4 linked regions of the Ovis aries genome follow. The protein of the gene in region 3 interacts with the protein of the main gene of each other region in a pairwise test. Links are inferred from orthologs where the notes say so. Each region holds a gene or a part of one and is shown on either strand. Other genes may lie near its edges.

Evidence for each region. The genes of interacting proteins can lie anywhere in the genome.
Region 1: the proteins of REL (region 3) and PRKAB2 interact in binary tests that used the Homo sapiens proteins (3 or more experiments, as listed by UniProt). The link is inferred for Ovis aries from reciprocal best matches to the Homo sapiens genes REL and PRKAB2.
Region 2: the proteins of REL (region 3) and CEP19 interact in binary tests that used the Homo sapiens proteins (3 or more experiments, as listed by UniProt). The two-hybrid records come from large-scale screens. The link is inferred for Ovis aries from reciprocal best matches to the Homo sapiens genes REL and CEP19.
Region 4: the proteins of REL (region 3) and EFHC1 interact in binary tests that used the Homo sapiens proteins (3 or more experiments, as listed by UniProt). The two-hybrid records come from large-scale screens. The link is inferred for Ovis aries from reciprocal best matches to the Homo sapiens genes REL and EFHC1.

What each region holds. Positions count from the first base shown.
Region 1 is NC_056054.1:98,151,027-98,155,430, reverse strand, and holds the start of PRKAB2 (5'-AMP-activated protein kinase subunit beta-2), read left to right. Parts: upstream 1-1,444; 5' UTR 1,445-1,586; intron 1,587-1,789; exon of another isoform or gene 1,790-1,849; 5' UTR 1,850-1,876; coding exon 1,877-2,029; exon of another isoform or gene 2,030-3,566; intron 3,567-4,404. UniProt on the Homo sapiens protein: Non-catalytic subunit of AMP-activated protein kinase (AMPK), an energy sensor protein kinase that plays a key role in regulating cellular energy metabolism.
Region 2 is NC_056054.1:192,038,369-192,042,913, reverse strand, and holds the start of CEP19 (centrosomal protein of 19 kDa), read left to right. Parts: upstream 1-1,585; 5' UTR 1,586-1,631; intron 1,632-4,545. Other genes in the region: PIGX (phosphatidylinositol-glycan biosynthesis class X protein), read right to left, coding at 1,134-1,585. UniProt on the Homo sapiens protein: Required for ciliation. Recruits the RABL2B GTPase to the ciliary base to initiate ciliation.
Region 3 is NC_056056.1:63,114,863-63,118,795, reverse strand, and holds part of REL (proto-oncogene c-Rel), read left to right. Parts: intron 1-944; coding exon 945-1,093; intron 1,094-3,933. UniProt on the Homo sapiens protein: Proto-oncogene that may play a role in differentiation and lymphopoiesis.
Region 4 is NC_056073.1:24,505,437-24,510,132, forward strand, and holds the start of EFHC1 (EF-hand domain-containing protein 1), read left to right. Parts: upstream 1-1,736; 5' UTR 1,737-1,770; coding exon 1,771-1,938; intron 1,939-4,302; coding exon 4,303-4,524; intron 4,525-4,696. UniProt on the Homo sapiens protein: Microtubule inner protein (MIP) part of the dynein-decorated doublet microtubules (DMTs) in cilia axoneme, which is required for motile cilia beating.

The DNA.
Region 1 (4,404 bases), on a different chromosome or scaffold from region 3:
AGCTGAATTTATCCCAACCTAAGGGCTGTTGTTGCGCTTTTCTGCCTTAAGTGTTCCCTCTGATGTTTCTGTTGCTTTCTTACTTGAATTTTATTTCTTCTGAGGTTGCTCACTGCAAATACCGTTTCTTAGCCTAGAATAGTTTTCTCCTAATTTTGACAATCTGACAAGATTTGTCTAAATATTCCCTCTTCCCTGGGGCCCCACTCTGACTGCTAAGTACTCCCCATAACACTTAGTTTTAACCCCCAGCAATTACCATTATTTCCTTAGCTTTCAATTGCAAGTCCTTATTCTTATTTCTTATTCCTTACAGGAACTCACCTCTCTGGGAAGCTTGTCGAAAAGATGCTACAAAATGAAGACATTTGGCAAACTTGAGACCAGGTGAGGAGGCCGAGAAGAAACCAACACAGCTCCTCCTGGTACGGTGCACCAGAGCCCGGGAAGGGACCCCAAGTATCTTTTGGGAACCATCCTTTCCCCATGGCAGGTCTTTGGGCTCAACCAACCTCTTGATGAAAGTGAAAGAGGAGAGTGAAAAAGTTGGCTTAAAGCTCAACATTCAGAAAACAAAGATCATGGCATCCAGTCCCATCAGTTCATGGCAAATAGATGGAGAAACAGTGGAAACAGTGTCAGACTTTATTTTTGGGGGCTCCAAAATCACTGCATGGTTACTGCAACCATGATATTAAAAGACGCTTACTCCTTGGAAGAAAAGTTATGACTAACCTAGACAGCATATTAAAAAGCAGAGACATTACTTTGCCAACAAAGGTCCGTCTAGTCAAGGCTATGGTTTTTCCAGTAGTCATATATGGATGTGAGAGTTGGACTACAAAGAGAGCTGAGCGCAGAATTGATGCTTTTGAACTGTGATGTTGGAGAAGACTCTTGAGAGTCCCTTGGACCGCAAGGAGATCCAACCAGTCCATTCTAAAGGAGATCAGTCCTGGGTGTTCATTGAAAGGACTGATGTTGAAGCTGAAACTCCAATACTTTGGCCCCCTGATGGGAAGGGAAGAGCTGACTCATTGAAACGAGCCTGATGCTGGGAAAGATTGAAGGCGAGAGAAGGGGACGACAGAGGATGAGATGGTTGGATGGCATCACAGACTCAATGGACATGAGTTTGAGTAAACTCCGGGAGTTGGTGATGGACAGGGAGGCCTGGCGTGCTGCAGTCCATGGGGTTGCAAAGAGTCGGACACGACTGAGCGACTGAACTGAACTAAAATAAACCTAAGATTCCGGCGCAGGCTTGCCAGGGAAGCGGTCCTGGCCCCGCACTCCGCTGACTGCGGCACTGGCGCCCCCGCCTGGCGCTGGAGGCTGCGCGCGGCGGCCCACCACCGAGCCGGCGGCGGCTAGAGAGGCCGGCTGGCCCCGGGCGCCGTCGCGGCGCGCCCGCAGGGAACGCGCGCGGGGCGGGCCCCACGCCACTGATCTTGTAGCCATTTTAGGAGGAAACCCGGCTCGCTAGCCCGGGGCGAGGCTTCAATTTCGATAACTTTATTGGTGGCTTTATCCGCAGAACAGCCATCTCACCATTGATCCCGGGAGGAGGGAGAGCATCGCGGGAGGTGATTGGGGTGGGGGCGCCCCTGGACCGTGAGCGCGGGGGATGCGGGGGAGTTCCCGAAAGGGGGTTTCTTGAGCAGCGGGCCTCTAGAGGGTTTGGGGGTTCCGGGTGTTCTTGGAGGCCAGGGAGGAAGAGGTCCCCCAGGCACGGCTTCCCTGGGGCGGGGATTCCCTCGCCCGGTTCCCCAGACGCAGGGGCGGGGCCGGGGGCTCCCCTGACAAGACTGCCGGGGTGTCCCTTGCCCCATGCTGTTCCCCACGGCAGGTGGCCCCCGACTCGAGCTGCACAGCCATGGGAAACACCAGCGATCGAGTGGCCGGGGAGCGCCACGGCGCCAAGGCTGCGCGCGCCGAGGGCGCCGGCGGCCATGCTCCGGGTAAGGAACATAAGATCATGGTGGGGAGCACCGACGACCCCAGCGTCTTCAGCCTGCCGGACTCCAAGGTGAGTGTCCCCACGCCCCTAGTTGGTGGCGGTCCTGCAGCAGGCTGGGTGTCAGGGCTCTTCCTCCCTCTTTTGTTTTTTCCTTACCACACTGACCCGAATTAAGGCTTTTAGAATTAAAGGTTTTTTTCTGGGGACGGAGATACTGGGTGGTAATTCTTTTTGCGGTGCTGCCTCAAAATAGGCTAGAGGCGGAGTTCCTGTTACTGGACTCCTGTGTTTGCCACATTTTTAGGATGAGGCCAACACCCCCCCCCCTCCGCCCCCCTCCACCCTTGGTTCTCCTGGATGCCTCTTCTAGAGTATTGATGAATTTGTAGGTTGTGAAAAACTTCAGACTGTAGGTTACCTGAGTTGCTGACCACAGGCGGCAGTTTCTCACATTTGCCCTAAGGTAGGTAAGTGACTTTTCCCTGAACACTTCTACTTCTTTGTATTAGTCTCATTTTTGCCCTTCTAAGAGATCAGCACTTCAGATCCTCTTCCTCTTTGGCATGACTGTGAGCAGCAACCCCTTGCTTATATGAATACTTTTTCCTAGTCCTGGGGATCAATAAAGGACATTATTTGGTTGACTGCTTAGTTTTCATCTCATACTTTATAGTTATGGCTGAGGTGCTTTTTTTCATGTCCAGCTACTTCTTAAGTGGGAGAGCAAATAAGTTGAGGATTTCTTCACTTCCTGGTAGTACTTCATAATATTACCAAACTGAAAAAGGACCACCCACAGTTTCCCTGAAGACCTGGCTGTCAGTCTAGGACTTTCAGGAAAGTGGCAACTTGTGTTCACCCTACAGAAAAGATAGATGGAGCTGACAGCAATAAAATTACATCCAAATGTTTCTAATCACTTTTAGAGCTGTCTGCATTAAATACAGTAATTCCACCTGGTAGTCTGACTGGGATGAAGTAGAAAAATGGAGGGATTGAGGAGATTGGGGTGTGTTTGATGTTATCACTCATCCCTTGCCACACATCTGAGGTTTTATTTTATTTACTCTTGTAAATGTGTGTGTGTGTGTGTGTGTTAGTCATTCAGTCGTCTCCGACTCTTTGCAACCCCATATCCATGGGATTCTCCAGACAAGAATACTGAAGTGGGTTGCCATTCCCTTTCCAGGGGATTTTCCCGATCCAGGGATTGAACCTGGGTCTTCTGAATTGCAGGCAGATGCCTTACCGTCTGAACGACCAGGGTAAATAGAGAGTAATTTTGCTGGGTTGGTAACACATGAAATGTGGATTCTGTTTATTTTCTTGGATCCCAATTGAAAACATAATCACAAAGAGAAGTGAAGGTGATTTCTTGGGGTTTCTTCTCTGTTCCTTTCTTGCTTCTTCCACTTCAGGACTTCTTCCTCAACTCTTGGGCTATCTCCCCAGCCATCTGAATTTACTTCTTCAAAGCTTTCTCAAGGTGATTGTATTTTTATCCATTTCCTACACTGATGACTCAGGATTTAAGTACTGTGTACTTGTCAAACTGTGGCTGCAGTAATCGGTGTCCTGAATAAAAGTCAGGTTGCTCTATCTGAAATGGAGCCTATTTTGGATCATTCTTTCCCTTACCTCAGTCTTGCCATTTGTGAACTAAGATTGGTTCAAATAATTCCCAAGGTCATTTCCAAATCTGAGAGTTTACAGTTGCTCAGTCTATTCTATTTCTTTCCTCAGTGTTTCACTTAAACAGTTTTCAATTGTAATTCTAGTTGTTTTGCCTCTTTTCCTGATGATTTTGCTGACTATTTAACTTGGAGTAAACAATCTCTCTCCTTGTCAGCTGCACTGATGCCTACCACAGAAATGTCATATCATACGTGGAAGGGCTTTCTTCCAAAGCTAGGCATATTAATAGTTTGTAGCTTTCAAATTCTAAAATAATAAAGCATACAAGTAAATGATAGAAACAGTGGCAGAAGGGCCTATATTGCTTCAAATGCCACCCTTCAGTGGACTAGTTCAGTGGTTTTCAATCCTATTTGCACATTAGACTTACTGGGATTTATTTAAACACTTCATGGAAAATCTGAAACATTTTCCATGTTTCAAAGTCAGGAGAGCAGTGTAATGAATCCTATATAACTGTCATCCAGTTTAAACAATGATCAAATCATGAATGAATTCATATCATCTATACCCCAATCCACTCTACCCCCACCAATTATTTTTAAGCAAATCCCAGACCATCATATCAAATATTACTTTACCTATAAGCATTTTAGGATGTATCTCTAATGATGAGATTTCTTTCTTTATTTTCAACATTAAATTTTAGGATTATTGTCTGGGAAGCTTCTTAAAAATAGAGTCCCAGGTCCTATATCTGAATCAGAATCTGAGGCATATATAATTGTTAGGAATGTAAAAATTTCTAT
Region 2 (4,545 bases), on a different chromosome or scaffold from region 3:
CCTTCAAGATTTTTACTCTTAAATTTTACTTACTTCGTTTTTGTAGCCCGAATTGGCTCTGGAAATTGACCCCCTTTACAAATTGCTGTAAAGTCTTTAGTTATCAATAAGCCCAGTCGTTTGAAAATTATTTTTCGCCTAATAATTCCTTCTTCAAATAAATTTCAGAACCTAATATATAAACACACAAAAGCAGAACTGCACTGATTGACAGATACTAATCTAGTATCCTGGTTTTAAAGACAGCTTCCGTACTGGTTTTCCTGGTGTGTGTGTGTACTGACTTTTCTTTCCCTATCAAACGTTATCACTTTATTGTAACTACTACTGCACTTACCCATCTCCCCTACTACATTGCAAGCTCCACGAGGGCTGGATTCACAGCACCAGTACAGCACTTCTGCCCCCGAACTTGAGCACAAAGAAGTGAATCGACTCGCTCGCCCAGCCCGGAGTCTTAAAGAAACCCTAGCCCAATCCAGTTTATTATCAAACATGTTTGTAAAACGAAATTAGTCGTCCTCCCCTTTCCACGCTCCCCAAGGGAAGGTATTCTAGATTGGGGTTCTCACACCTCACAGGGCACTTAGGCTTTGTTGGCCCCGCAGTAGTCAGAAGCCTCATGCATCCCAAGAGCACCCCAAAATGCTTCACGGCTGTACTTCACAACGTGTTAGTAATAGTGCTGCCAGTCCCTCCTCAGAAAGACCAAGCCTTCCTCTCCAGAGAACCAGGACTGGTCACAAAGAATGGAGGCGGGGGCGGTGGGACGTGCAGGAACTTGCAGCCTTTGTTGTTTATCTCCTGCTACTCACCCTACTTCCCTGTGGCTCAGACGGTAAAGCGTCTGACTACAATGCGGGTCCCCTGGAGAAGGAAATGACAACCCACTCCAGTATGCTTGCCTGGAAATCCCATGGACGGAGGAGCCTGGTGGGATATAGTCCATGGGGTCGCAAAGAGTCGGACACCACTGAGCGACTTCACTTCACTTTCACTCACCCTACGGTTCTAGGGTCGCGAGAAGCACGTTTGTAAAGGGAGGAAGTGAGAGGTCTCGGGAATCTCGAGTGCTCCCCACCCTCTCAGACCTTAACCCGGCCCCACTCCCGAGGCCCAGCTCCGCCCCTTACCGGCGACGAAGTGGGTGTTGTTGAATGTTGTGGCTGGCGAGCAGGTGAACCCAGCAGCCTCCCAGAGAAGCAGCCAGGCCACTGCCCTGACGGCCACCGCTGGGGCAGCCAGGACGAAGAAGAACGCGCGCCCCAGAAGAGCACGCGGGGATAAAATGCGATCGGAGGAACGTGCACAAGGTTCACACCGCTCCGCACTGTCACGGAGTTTGGGACCCGGAAGTAAGATTCGCTTCGCGCACGCCTGCGATCCTGCAGTTTCCCGGCTCCCCGCCCCTAAATGTTCCGGGATAGCGGCAGGCCTTCGTCCAGCACCTTCGTCGCCCCGCCCCTTGCCCTCACGGTCGGGGGCGGAGCGAGGAGTGGCGCAAGCGCAGTGACGTGCACTGGGGCTGTTGGTCTGGGGAGAGCTCCGTGGACCCCGAGTCTGACCCTGAACCCCGCACGCTGTCCTGGGAACCGCCTAGCCGAGCTCCCGGCATTCTCCTCAACTTCCAGGTATTTGCCGATGCGATCCTCCTGCCTGAGAATTCACCCTACAGTCACGTCTGCGAAGCTGTGGCTGTCGTCTTTTTCTGCAGCGCCAGGCTTTGCCTGGCCTTAAAGTGAAGTTAAGTGCTCCTAGGTGCACTACGGTTGGTGGACAGGTTTTAGACGTTGACCTGCAGAAGATGCATTTTCTGTACTTATAAGAAAATCAGCCTTGCACTAGTGAGGGGCATGGTTAGGGAGAGGATCGTCTACCTGATGGCAAAATCCGTACATTCTTAGATGCTGTGGGCGATGCTTGGCAAGATATGCCAGTCATTGATCCCTGGGGAGGAAAGTATTAATGTCTAGAAGAAAAACTTGGTAAATGTGTCGTCTGTCTTCATGAATTGAATATGTAAGCAGACCTGGAGAGTATCAGGTGCAGATTAGAGCAGAACGGAGGGCCCTAGGATGAATGTCTTAAAGGCGAGAGATATCAGAGCTCATTCGCTTCAGTCGTGTCGGACTCTGCGGTCCCATGGACTGTAGCCCGTCAGTTTCCTCTGTCCATGGGATTCTCCAGGCAAGAATACTGGAGTGGGTTGCCATTTCCTTCTCCAGGGGATCTTCCCGACCCAGGGATCGAACCCGTGTCTCTTGTGCCTTCGCATTGGCAGGCAGGTTCTTTACCGCTAGTGCCATCTGGATACTACCTAAAATTCAATATAGCAATATAAGCATGCTGTTAAGAAATATAGAGATAGATTTTGGAAGAAACATTTAAAAGAATTGAAACTGATTACCTGTGGAAAGGGGACGGGGTGAGGACAGCAGTTCTTTGTTATGAGCCTCATGAAATTATGTTACATTAACAATACAAACAATACTTTAGTAAAAATAAAAGTTTAATTTTAAAAAGAAAGAAAAGAGTATAGTCATAAAACTTCATTATTGAGCATAACTTTCATGCATTATTTATTAATACAGTCATGTGAGTGTGGAATTTATATTGTGCTCACTACTAACAAATTTTAGTGAGGCGAACTGGGAGAAGTATTTGTTTTAAAAAAAAAAAGGAAGGAAAGGAAAGAGATGGAGAAGAAGGAGGAGGAGAAGGAAAAGAAGAAAGAAGGGATGAGATGGGATCACTGAATCAAATCAGAGACAGAACACAATAATTTGACAAAGCTGTTCTTTATATATGATCCATTTCCTAAGAGTAAAAATTCTCAGTCCAACAGTAAGAGCTGAATAATATAGATTATGGTATATCCATAGAACAAAACATTTGAAGTCATAAGTTTGCATTTTAGAATGACATTAAATTTGCATTTAAAGACAAAATTACATGGGTTGTTAAATTTAAAAGACAGGACATAGAAAAGAATGAAATAATACCATTTGAAGCAACATGGATGGACCTAGAGATTATCATACTAAGTGAAGTAAGAAAGAGAAAGACATACCATATAATACAGTGTATGTGGAATCTAAAGTATGACACAAATGAACTTATCTACAAACAGAAACAGACTCATAGACATAGAGAACGAATTTGTGGTTGCAACGAGGGAGGGGGTTTGGGGGAGAGATGATTGGGAGTTTGAGATTAGCAGGTGCAAACTGTCATGTATAGCATGGGTAATAAGGTCCTACTGTATAGCACAAGGAACTATAGTCAATATCCTGTGATAAACCATAATGGAAAAGAATACAAAAAAGAATGTATATATGTTTATAACTGAGTCATTTTGCTATATAGCAGAAATTAACATTGTAAATCCACTCTGGTGGCTCAGAGGGTAAAGCATCTGCCTGCAATGTGGGAGACCTGGGTTCGATCCCTGGGTGGGGAAGATTCCCCTGGAGAAGGAAATGGCAGCCCACTCTAGTATTCTTGTGTGGAAAACCCCATGGATGGAGAAGCCTGATGGGCTACAGTCCATGGAGTTGCAAAGAGTCAGACACGACTGAGCGACTTCACTTTCAGCAAAATAAGTTTCTTTAAAAATTTAAAAGGCAGGAAATAGTATGTATCAACATAAAAACATACTAAAACTATGTCTAGAAAAAAGACTGGAAGGAATCAGGGATGATTATTATTTTGTATGTTTCTTCCTACCCCCTCCCAATTCTCCAGTAAATATCTATTAAGTAATCCTGTTTCTATTGTGATTCTCTGGCAGAACTAAATTTATGAAGGTATCATCCCTTTGCTACTTTACTTCTAGATTTTTTGACATTTGCAAATCTTCCTGAGAATACCATAGTCACATCTAAAGCATTCCCTATAATTAAATATATTTTTGCATTGAGAGCAGGGAAGAGGGAATGAAAAATATTAACCTTTAAAATGACTTTTTCTTGTAACTGAAAAAACATCATGTAGTGAAACAAGTTGAAATAAAAGCTATATAAGCTTTATTGCCTTGAAAATGTGAAGGCTGATTCTGCTTCGGGTCTGCCTTCTTGATCAGACTTCTAGACGGTCAACACTTAGAGAATGTACAGGATACACTGAATTAAACAATGGAATACCTAATCCAGATATTGTGTTGGGGATAGTGTGGTGAACTTTGGACATGTTTCCTGCCCTCAAGGAGCATGCAGAATAGAAGAGAAAAAGATAGGTGATTAAATAAGTAGTTACCAAAAACTCAATGAGGAAAAAAAAAAAAGCAAGAAACTCAATGAAGGACTTCCCTGCCAGTTCAGTGGTTAAGAATCTGCCTTCTAATGCAGGAGACGCAAGTTTGCTCCCTGGTCAGGGAACTTGAGAGCCTACATACCTGTGCACTGCAGCTAAGAGAGGCCCAGACACTGCAATGAAGACCCAGTGCAGTGAAAAACAAAACAAATTAAAAATACCTCAAAGAGTGGAATGATTGGGGAAGTATAGGAGGGGGAGGTCTGGTCTGGGGAAACTCTCAGGACATAATTT
Region 3 (3,933 bases):
CAACCATGGATCAAATCTGTGCCCCTTGCAGTGGAAGCTCAGAATCCTAACCACCAGACTGCCAGGGAATTTCCAACCTTATACTCTTAAATTTTTACTTTCTCTTTTATTCAGAAAGGCAATAAATACTTTCTGATTACTGTTCAAATTAAGTTTAAATTCAGAGTTCAGGATTTTAATGCCCTTTTACCTGTGAAGCCACCCATTTTTACTTAACTGCCTTGCTCCCTTGTATGCTGTTTTTTAAATGTTTCCTGCTTTGTGCTTACAAATTTGCTAGCTTCCAAAGTAAATACTAACTCCTTCCCACAAGCTCCTCCTTCCTCTCCCATGTTTAACTCTTCTCTTCATTCTCAGTGTTCTGTGTGAAAACTTAATTTTGCAAAACTCAGCTTGATTTATTGCCTATTATACAGTGAACATTTGGGATATGCTTACTGATTAACAAATATTTTTGTGAAATGAAATGTCATGTATTAAGTTACTTAAGTGATCATATTTATGTACTATCATTTCCATTGTGGCTTAAATATATACTTGGAAGGGATGTTATGGTATGGCATGGCAATGGTATGGCAATGAATATAGCAGCATGGCATTCAGTGACTCAGCACCTTAGAATTTCCTCATCTACTGTGATACTATTTTAGTATACTTTGACTTGTTTTCAAAGGAAAATAAGCAAAAATCAGATGATATAAACAGTTGAAATTAGGGCACAAAGTGATATACGAAGGAACTGAGAGGTAAATTCTTCCCTACTGGTATCCTCTGGAAAGTTTCATGCATACTGCAGTTACCAGTCAGTTGTAGTTTATCCAGTGCTAACTATATGATGTAAATTGAACTATTTAGTATAAATTCTGGTGCTGATATAAATTTTATAATTCAGTTGTTGGTGAGACATATTTATGGATCACATATTTAATTTCCCCCCTTTTCAGATTTTGAACTATTATGGAAAAGGAAAAGTGAGAATTACATTAGTAACAAAGAATGACCCATATAAACCTCATCCTCATGATTTAGTAGGAAAAGACTGCAGAGATGGCTACTATGAAGCAGAATTTGGGCAAGAACGCAGACCTTTGTTGTAAGTACATAGTCACAGACATTTTTAGGAATAGTATAAGAATAGGATTCTCCTGTTTCCTATCTATGTACCTCTGTTACTTTTTGGCAGAATAAATCAATTCCTCACTGTACTTCTATTTACTGTAGTATATATTTGCATTCTCTTATCATTTACATTAGAACTACCCTTTCATTTTTTATTAGTAGAAGCCCATGATGGTAGTAGGAGTACTTCTTTATTGTAACTAAAAGTAAACATAAACTTATTTTATGCTGCAGTTTTCTTTCTTAGTTTGAACAATTTATGAAAGGATTTCTCTAACGTAAAAATTGTCAGATGTGAAAAAATCACCTGGAAAACTGGGATTTTTATTTGAAAAAGGCAGTATAACATTAACATACAACAATAGCTTTAAAATTTAAAATAGATATATAGTACTTTGTGTGTGAGGCTGCTGGGTTCATTTTCATCCTATTGGTGAAAGTAAATAAATAAAATCTTTCTGGTAGGCACTATAATTTCAGCAAAGCCTGAAATTATATGAATGTCTCTTGAACTAGCAATTCTACTTCTAGGGATTTATCTTGAGGAAATAATCTAATTAAGCATGTTCAGAAACTTAGCTGTAATGATGTTCATTGAAGCTTTGTAATGGCAAAAAGTTAGAAGCAATCCGGATTATAAAACAGAGGGAGATTAGTTAAACTGGTACCTCCATGCAGTGAACTCCTATGTAGCCTTAAAAATAACACTGCAAAAATGTCTTTGTATAGAAAGATGTTCCCAATATTTAGATAAATAAAAGAAGGCTTTACAATGAAGTATGATAAATAATTTAAAAATTTTAAATTTTACATTGGAGTATCATTGATCAACAATGTTGTGTTAGTTTTTCAAAGTAAGTGTGTACATATACATGATAGTTTAAACACTAAGATGTTGATAGCAGCTGTCTCTGGGTAGGAAGAATTGTGGGGTTTTATGTGCTTCTTTTAACTCATATTCATTTTATAATTCTTTTTGTAATGAACATGTATTGCTTGTGAGAAAAAAATGAAACTGATTGCAACAGGAAAAGATTAGTAGCCTCCTTAAATACAAGTAGTAACCATTTAGAAAATATACTTTAGTAACAGCACAAAACATGAACTATCTGGTTGTATAAACTTGGCAAGGAATACTTCCTATTTGTATTATTTCGCCTCCCAATGTTTTACATTGTAGATTATTGACTTATTGAAACATAATTACTCCTTGTTTTCTGAGAACAGACTCTTCTGTTTTACTTCTTATTTCTCTGGCTCTTCTTTGTCAGCCTTCAGTTCAGTTCAGTTCAGTTGCTCAGTCGTATCCAACTCTTTGCGACCCCATGAATCGCAGCACGCCAGGCCTTCCTGTCCATCACCAACTCCTGGAGTTTACCCAAACTCACGTCCAGCGAGTCGGTGATGCCATCCAGCCGTCTCATCCTCTGTCGTCCCCTTCTCCTCCTGCCCCCAATCCCTCCCAGCATCAGGGTCTTTTCCAATGAGTCAGCTCTTTGCATCAGGTGGCCAAAGTATTGGAGTTTCAGCTTCAGCATCAGTCCTTCCAGTGAACACCCAGGACTGATCTTTAGGTATAGGCAGTTAGATTTTTGGACTACCTTATTTATGTCCAGTGATGCCCAATAATGCCTTTACGGCAGCCATGAAATTAAAAGACGCTTACTCCTTGGAAGGAAAGTTATGACCAACCTAGACAGCATGTTAAAAAGCAGAGACATTACTTTGTCAACAAAGGTCCGTCTAGTCAAGGCTGTGGTTTTTCCAGTGGTCATGTATGGATCTGAAAGTTGGACTATAAAGAGGGCTGAGCGCAGAAGACTTGATGCTTTTGAACCGTGGTGTTGGAGAAGACTCTTGAGAGTTCCTTGGACTGCAAGGAGATCCAACCAGTCCATCCTAAGGGAAATCGGTCCTGGGTGTTCATTGGAAGGACTGATGTTAAAGCTGAAACTCCATTATATTGGCCACTTGATGTGAAGAGCTGACTCATTTGAAAAGACCCTGATGTTGGGAAAGATTGAAGGCAGGAGGAGAAGGGGTCAACAGAGGATGAGATGGTTAGATGGCATCACTGACTCAGTGGTGATGAAAACTGTTGGTGATGGACAGGGAGGCCTGGCGTGCTGTGGTTCATGGGGTCACAAAGAGTTGGACACCACTGAGCAACTGAACTGAAGTGAACTGAACCTTGCCCCTCAATCCAAAATCCTGTTAAGGATCATCCATTGTATTTGGGTGTCATGCTTATTTAGTCTCCTTTAACTTAGAATATTTTCTCAACTTGTGTTGGTTTTTCATGACATTAACATTTTTGAAGAATATTATTTGTTTTGAAGAATGTTATTCAACATGGGTTAGTCTGAGTGGTTGCTCATGATTGTGTTCATGTTAACATGAAATATTTTGGATGAGAAATCTACAGAGGTGATGCTGTATTGTTCTCAAAGTAACACTACAGGAGATGGTGATACTAGTTTTTTCCCATTGGTGATATTAATTGGCATTCTACTGTAAAGAAAAACTTAGCCATATTCCCCTGCCTCAGTTGAAAAAATACCAGTATAGACTCATGGATTCTTTTTTTGACAGATAATTTTGTTGATTTATTTTTGTTTGTGCTGGGTCTTCGTTACGCACAGGCTTTCTCTATTTGCAGAGAGCAGGGGCTACTCTCTAGTTGCGATGTGTGGGCATCGCTTGTTGTGGGGCACAGGTTATAGGGTTCACTCGCTTCAGTAGTTGCAGCTCCCTGGGCTCTGGGGCATAGGCTCAGTAGTTGTGGCATACAGGCTTAGTTGCTCCATGGCATGT
Region 4 (4,696 bases), on a different chromosome or scaffold from region 3:
AGTTAATGAATGAGTGCTTTTCTTTGTATGAGAAGATGCAAGAGTCTGGGCTCACTGAACTCATTCCTTTGATAGGCACCTTACCATCCAGGACCAGTATCCTGCTTTTCTCCATCCTAAATCCCCTCAGCATGCACAGCTGTGGATGACTTCTGTGACTGATGGCTTAATGGCTGCAACATCTTTCCATTTCCTGATATGGCAGGTGACATCCTTTGTCCACACTGCCCTTCTAGGTCAGTGGCTAAGATAAAATGTAATGGTCAGATACTTGTAAAGTCTTTAGTGTCATTACAATGCATTGATTCAAAAAGTGTATTAAACACCTACATTAGGGCACTACACCAATAAAAAATAAAAATCTGGAAAGGTGAAAAAAGGAGTGGGGGACAAACATGGGAAATAGAAGTAGTTAGGGGATAGCAAGTGTTATCAGAAAAGAAACTCTGGGCAAGGTGTGGAGACAGCCACCAATAACTGCTTCACTGCCACTAGTGGACTGATGTCCTGGGCCCCCTGAGGTTTATGCCTGTTAGTGAAACCCATCAGGGGGATTTACTCTGACAAGCAGCAGTAAAACTAAAGCCTTTGTCTGTATTGGCAGTAAACCACCCATGACATGGATGCCTTTGGCGTGAAGCTTGCTACTCTATTGCACTCCGTTAAACTGGCTCATTCTCAGAAACAGCTGTTATAAAAATCAGACGCCTGGGCCCCATTTCAAACCCAGTGAATCCAATGTCCAGGCATCTGGGTTTTGTTTTTCTTTTTAAGCTCTTCAGCGCTTCTGATAGCTTGTTTTTTCTTTCTTGAAGATGTTTCAAGAACAGGATTACATTTTTTAAGGGATAATAATTTAAACAAGTTTTGTAAAAAGAGTACCTACGGTTTTGACAATTTATCACCGCACTTATTTGCTTTTCTCCTATGACAAATTTTTCTTGGCAGATGTATTTCCCCTCGTGGGTCTGATCTTTTTATTGCAACTGTAGGTAGTGATACTAGAGACTCGGAGAATTGACAGGAGCGCCGTGTAGCTGTCCAGTCAACAAATACTGAGCATCCTGCGGTGAATATGTAAGACCCCCCCAAGGCCTGTGAAGGAGGGTATAGAAATAGAATGTGCTGCGCTTAGTCGCTCAGTCGTGTCCGACTCTTGGCGACCCCGTGGACTGTATGTAGCCCGCCAGGCTCCTCTGTCCATGAGATTCTCCAGGCAAGAGTACTGGAGTGGGTTGCCATTTCCTTCAAAGGTAAAGTAGGAAAAAACTTGAATGAGGTAGTTGGAGGATTAGGCACCAGTCAGTTGCTTTTGTTTATTGAACATCCTTGAACAACAGAATTACAATCATGAATAATTCTCAGTCCCTGGCCCCAGGGAAGCACGGGTTCAGGAGAAGTAACACTTTCAACCGGAACCAACCAGTGACACTTCCGTGTGAACTGGGACAACAGCCTTTTTCCCACAGGTGGGAGAACAGCGAGCGGGCGGGGCGAGGTGAGGTGAGGTGAGGACTGGGATGGGGCGAAGGAAGGACCCTTCCCTTGGAACTGATCTAAGGACTCGCCCGAACCCGGACCCTCAAGGGGAGATCCATCACGTCATCCCACAACCACCTCGTCCCGCCCCGTGTTCTCACGTCTGCGCGGGGCGGGGCCAGCTCCCCTCGGCACACTCCCGCGAGAACGTCTAGTCCACGGGCTGCTCATGCGCGGGCTGGGCACGCCTGCGTCTCAGGCCCCGCCCTCTTCCGCTAGTGCTCTGCGTGTATGGCGTTACCATGGAGCTGCCGGGCCGCCCAGAACGCCGCTGGTTCCCCTGGCAACCCGAGAGGACCAAACCCTACCCGGGTGGTTGCGGCGAGAGCGGCCGCTATGGTGTCTAACCCAGTGCATGGCCTGCCTTTTCTCCCAGGCACGTCCTTTAAGGACTTAACGGTGAGGACTTCTCCGGCCAAACCCCTGTCCCCACCTCCTGGCAGCCCCGGAGAGCTCGCAGCAGGTTGCGTCTCTGCTCGTCCACGCGAGTTTGTCCTTTTCCCCTTCAAACCCTCTCTCTGCCCCCAACTCTGTTCTCCACACCCCACCTCCACCCCACTCCCCACCCCCCAACCTCACCCTCTTTCTCCAGTTTGCTCTCAGCCCATCCCTCTCTGGTTTTTCCACTCCATCCTGGCAGTCTGTTGGCCTCCCAGCGTTCTTCCTTGCTGCTCTGCTCTTGCTGGCTTTCCCCACCTGGTTCCCGAGCTCCCTCGGCCTTCTCCCTAGCTCATTCTCCCTTCTGCATACCCCTCTCTGCCCAGTTCCATCCTTAAACTTTTCTTCCCTCAACCTGGGCCCCTTCCCCAACGCAACCTCTATACGCCTTCGTACTTATTTCCACAGCCCCATCCCGCTCACTCTCCCCAAGCCCATCATTGCCGCCCGCATTTTCCTCTTCTGAATCCTAGACCCAGTAATCGCTCCCAGTCCCAACTCCATTTCCATCTGTTGGCTTCTTTCTGTCAGGTCCTTTTCCTCGGTCTCATTTATGCTTCTACCAAGCCCCATCTCCTTTTCTGTCCCAGCACGTCGACTTTTTCTGCAGTCTTGTTTAATCTTTTTCCCCAAATCCTCTTGCTTGGAAAGTTAAATTTTCAACACTTGGCCATCTTCCTCCCAAATCATCCTCAGGTGCTTTATGGGAGATAATTGCACTTTAGTTCCTCTGCCACAATTGATGTGTTCTTGGTTTTTCTTCTCTAGCCCTTTTCTTTTCGCTTGTAACATTTTTATAAAAGATTCCTGTTTGGATTTTGTTTCACTCCTCTCCTGCCTTAAGTGTTGTTAGTTATATCTTCTAGACAAAACTGAAGAGGAAAAAAAAAAAGGCTTGTGGTTTTTTTTTCTCTGACACAGTTTAGCCCTTGACAAAATGATTTTAATACTGAAATTTCAGGGTTGCTGAAATATGTGTTGGAAGGTCAGCATTAAGATTCAATAGGCTGAAAAAAAAAAGAAGAAAAAAAAAGATTCAATAGGCTGATTTTCAAAGATGAGACAATAATCATTTATGTAGTTTAACAATTTAAACAATAAGTTCCTCTCCTTGGTCATGAAGTTAAGGTAAAAAGACTGGAAACTGACTGCTCACTTGGCTCTTCCTTTCCTGTTGAGGGGAAGTTGTCTCCTGGCACTGAACAGTGCTGGTTTGGAGAATGGGATGATGCAGACAAAATGAGGTAGTCTTCCTTCTCTTCCTGTACGAATATCCTTGGTTTTTTTATCCCACTGTGTTGCTGAAACCTACTACATGGACCTCTTCCAGAGCTCTTATTTGTGGATAGCTGTCTGACTGTTGATCTTTGTGGAGTGGTGGGGAGGCTGAGTCCCTGTGCCACTGTTTTGATCTCTTTCCTTCAAAAATATTTCCTTTTCACTTTTTCTTAATATAATCTTTTGTTTTTTTCCAGTTATCAAAAAAATGTGTTGATTGTAGAAAAGAACAACAACATAATTTAGAAATGTATAAAACAGAGAACATTCTCCAAAGCAGTCTTTTTGTGCACGTGTTTGCATGCTTGTAATTGTAGTATGTGTATAATTTTGTAAGCTGCTTTTCTGGGTTTATTAAATCATAAACATTTTCCCCAGATTGCTACATGGTCTTCAAAACAAGTATTTTAATAGCTGCATAATAGCCCATTAAGTGAGCTTTCCATCATTTGCTCCTGCTTGTCTTTTATATTGCTTCTCGTGTTTTGGTTTATTGTGATTAACATTGTAATTGTCAGCCTTAGGCATGTTGTTCTTTCCCATGATTTTGGATTATATCCTTAAAGGATGGAGGGTGGAATTACTTAGTTTGACTTTAAATCCATAAAATCCATTTGCTTTCCAAAGAGTTACAATGAATATATTAGTGTCACTGTAGCAAGAGGGCCTTTCATTTCAGATAAGAATTCATTTCACAGATTTGGATTGTTTTGGTTCCGTGACTTATGACCACCAGATAAGATAGTACAAAATTAGGAGTCAACATAAAGATATTTTAGGTTTTTTGTGGTAGGTGAGCTGATAATTAAAATTGGATGCTCAGTAACAGGGCTTTAAATTTTATTTTAAGCTCAGGCTGCTGCCTCCCTCCTTGTTCCTGGCCACGTGTTTTAGCTTAAAATACAAGAACCTTCTCATGTAGGTAAAATTTTTGATACAGGGTTTGTGGGTGTTTATAAGTAAAGGTTGAATCTGAAACCTTTGGAAGTTAGCTCTTCTACCTAACAAATATTTGTTATATCTTGACACACTTCTTTTTTCCTTCAGAAAACAGCATTTCATAGAAGCCAGACGCTGGGCTATAGGAATGGCTATGCAGTTGTTCGACGTCCAACAGTTGGGATTGGCGGGAACAGGCTCCAGGTCAACCAGCTGTCCCAGGCTGATCTGGACGAGCTGGCCAACAGCATCCCAATCCTCACGTATGGACAGCCCAGGCAGGCCCCGCCTGCAGCGTTTATTCCTGCGCATGTGGCTTTTGACAAAAAGGTATCATCTGGGATCAAAGGGTACCCCTCAAATTCAGATTTCTGAGAGCCAGCTGTTTGCAGAAAAGTCAGTAGTAAACCATAGACTTTCCAGATTCTCTGAGGAAAAAATTGTTCAAATGCCTCAACCCTTAGTCATAGACAGCTGGACTCAGGATTAAAAGACTCTTTCT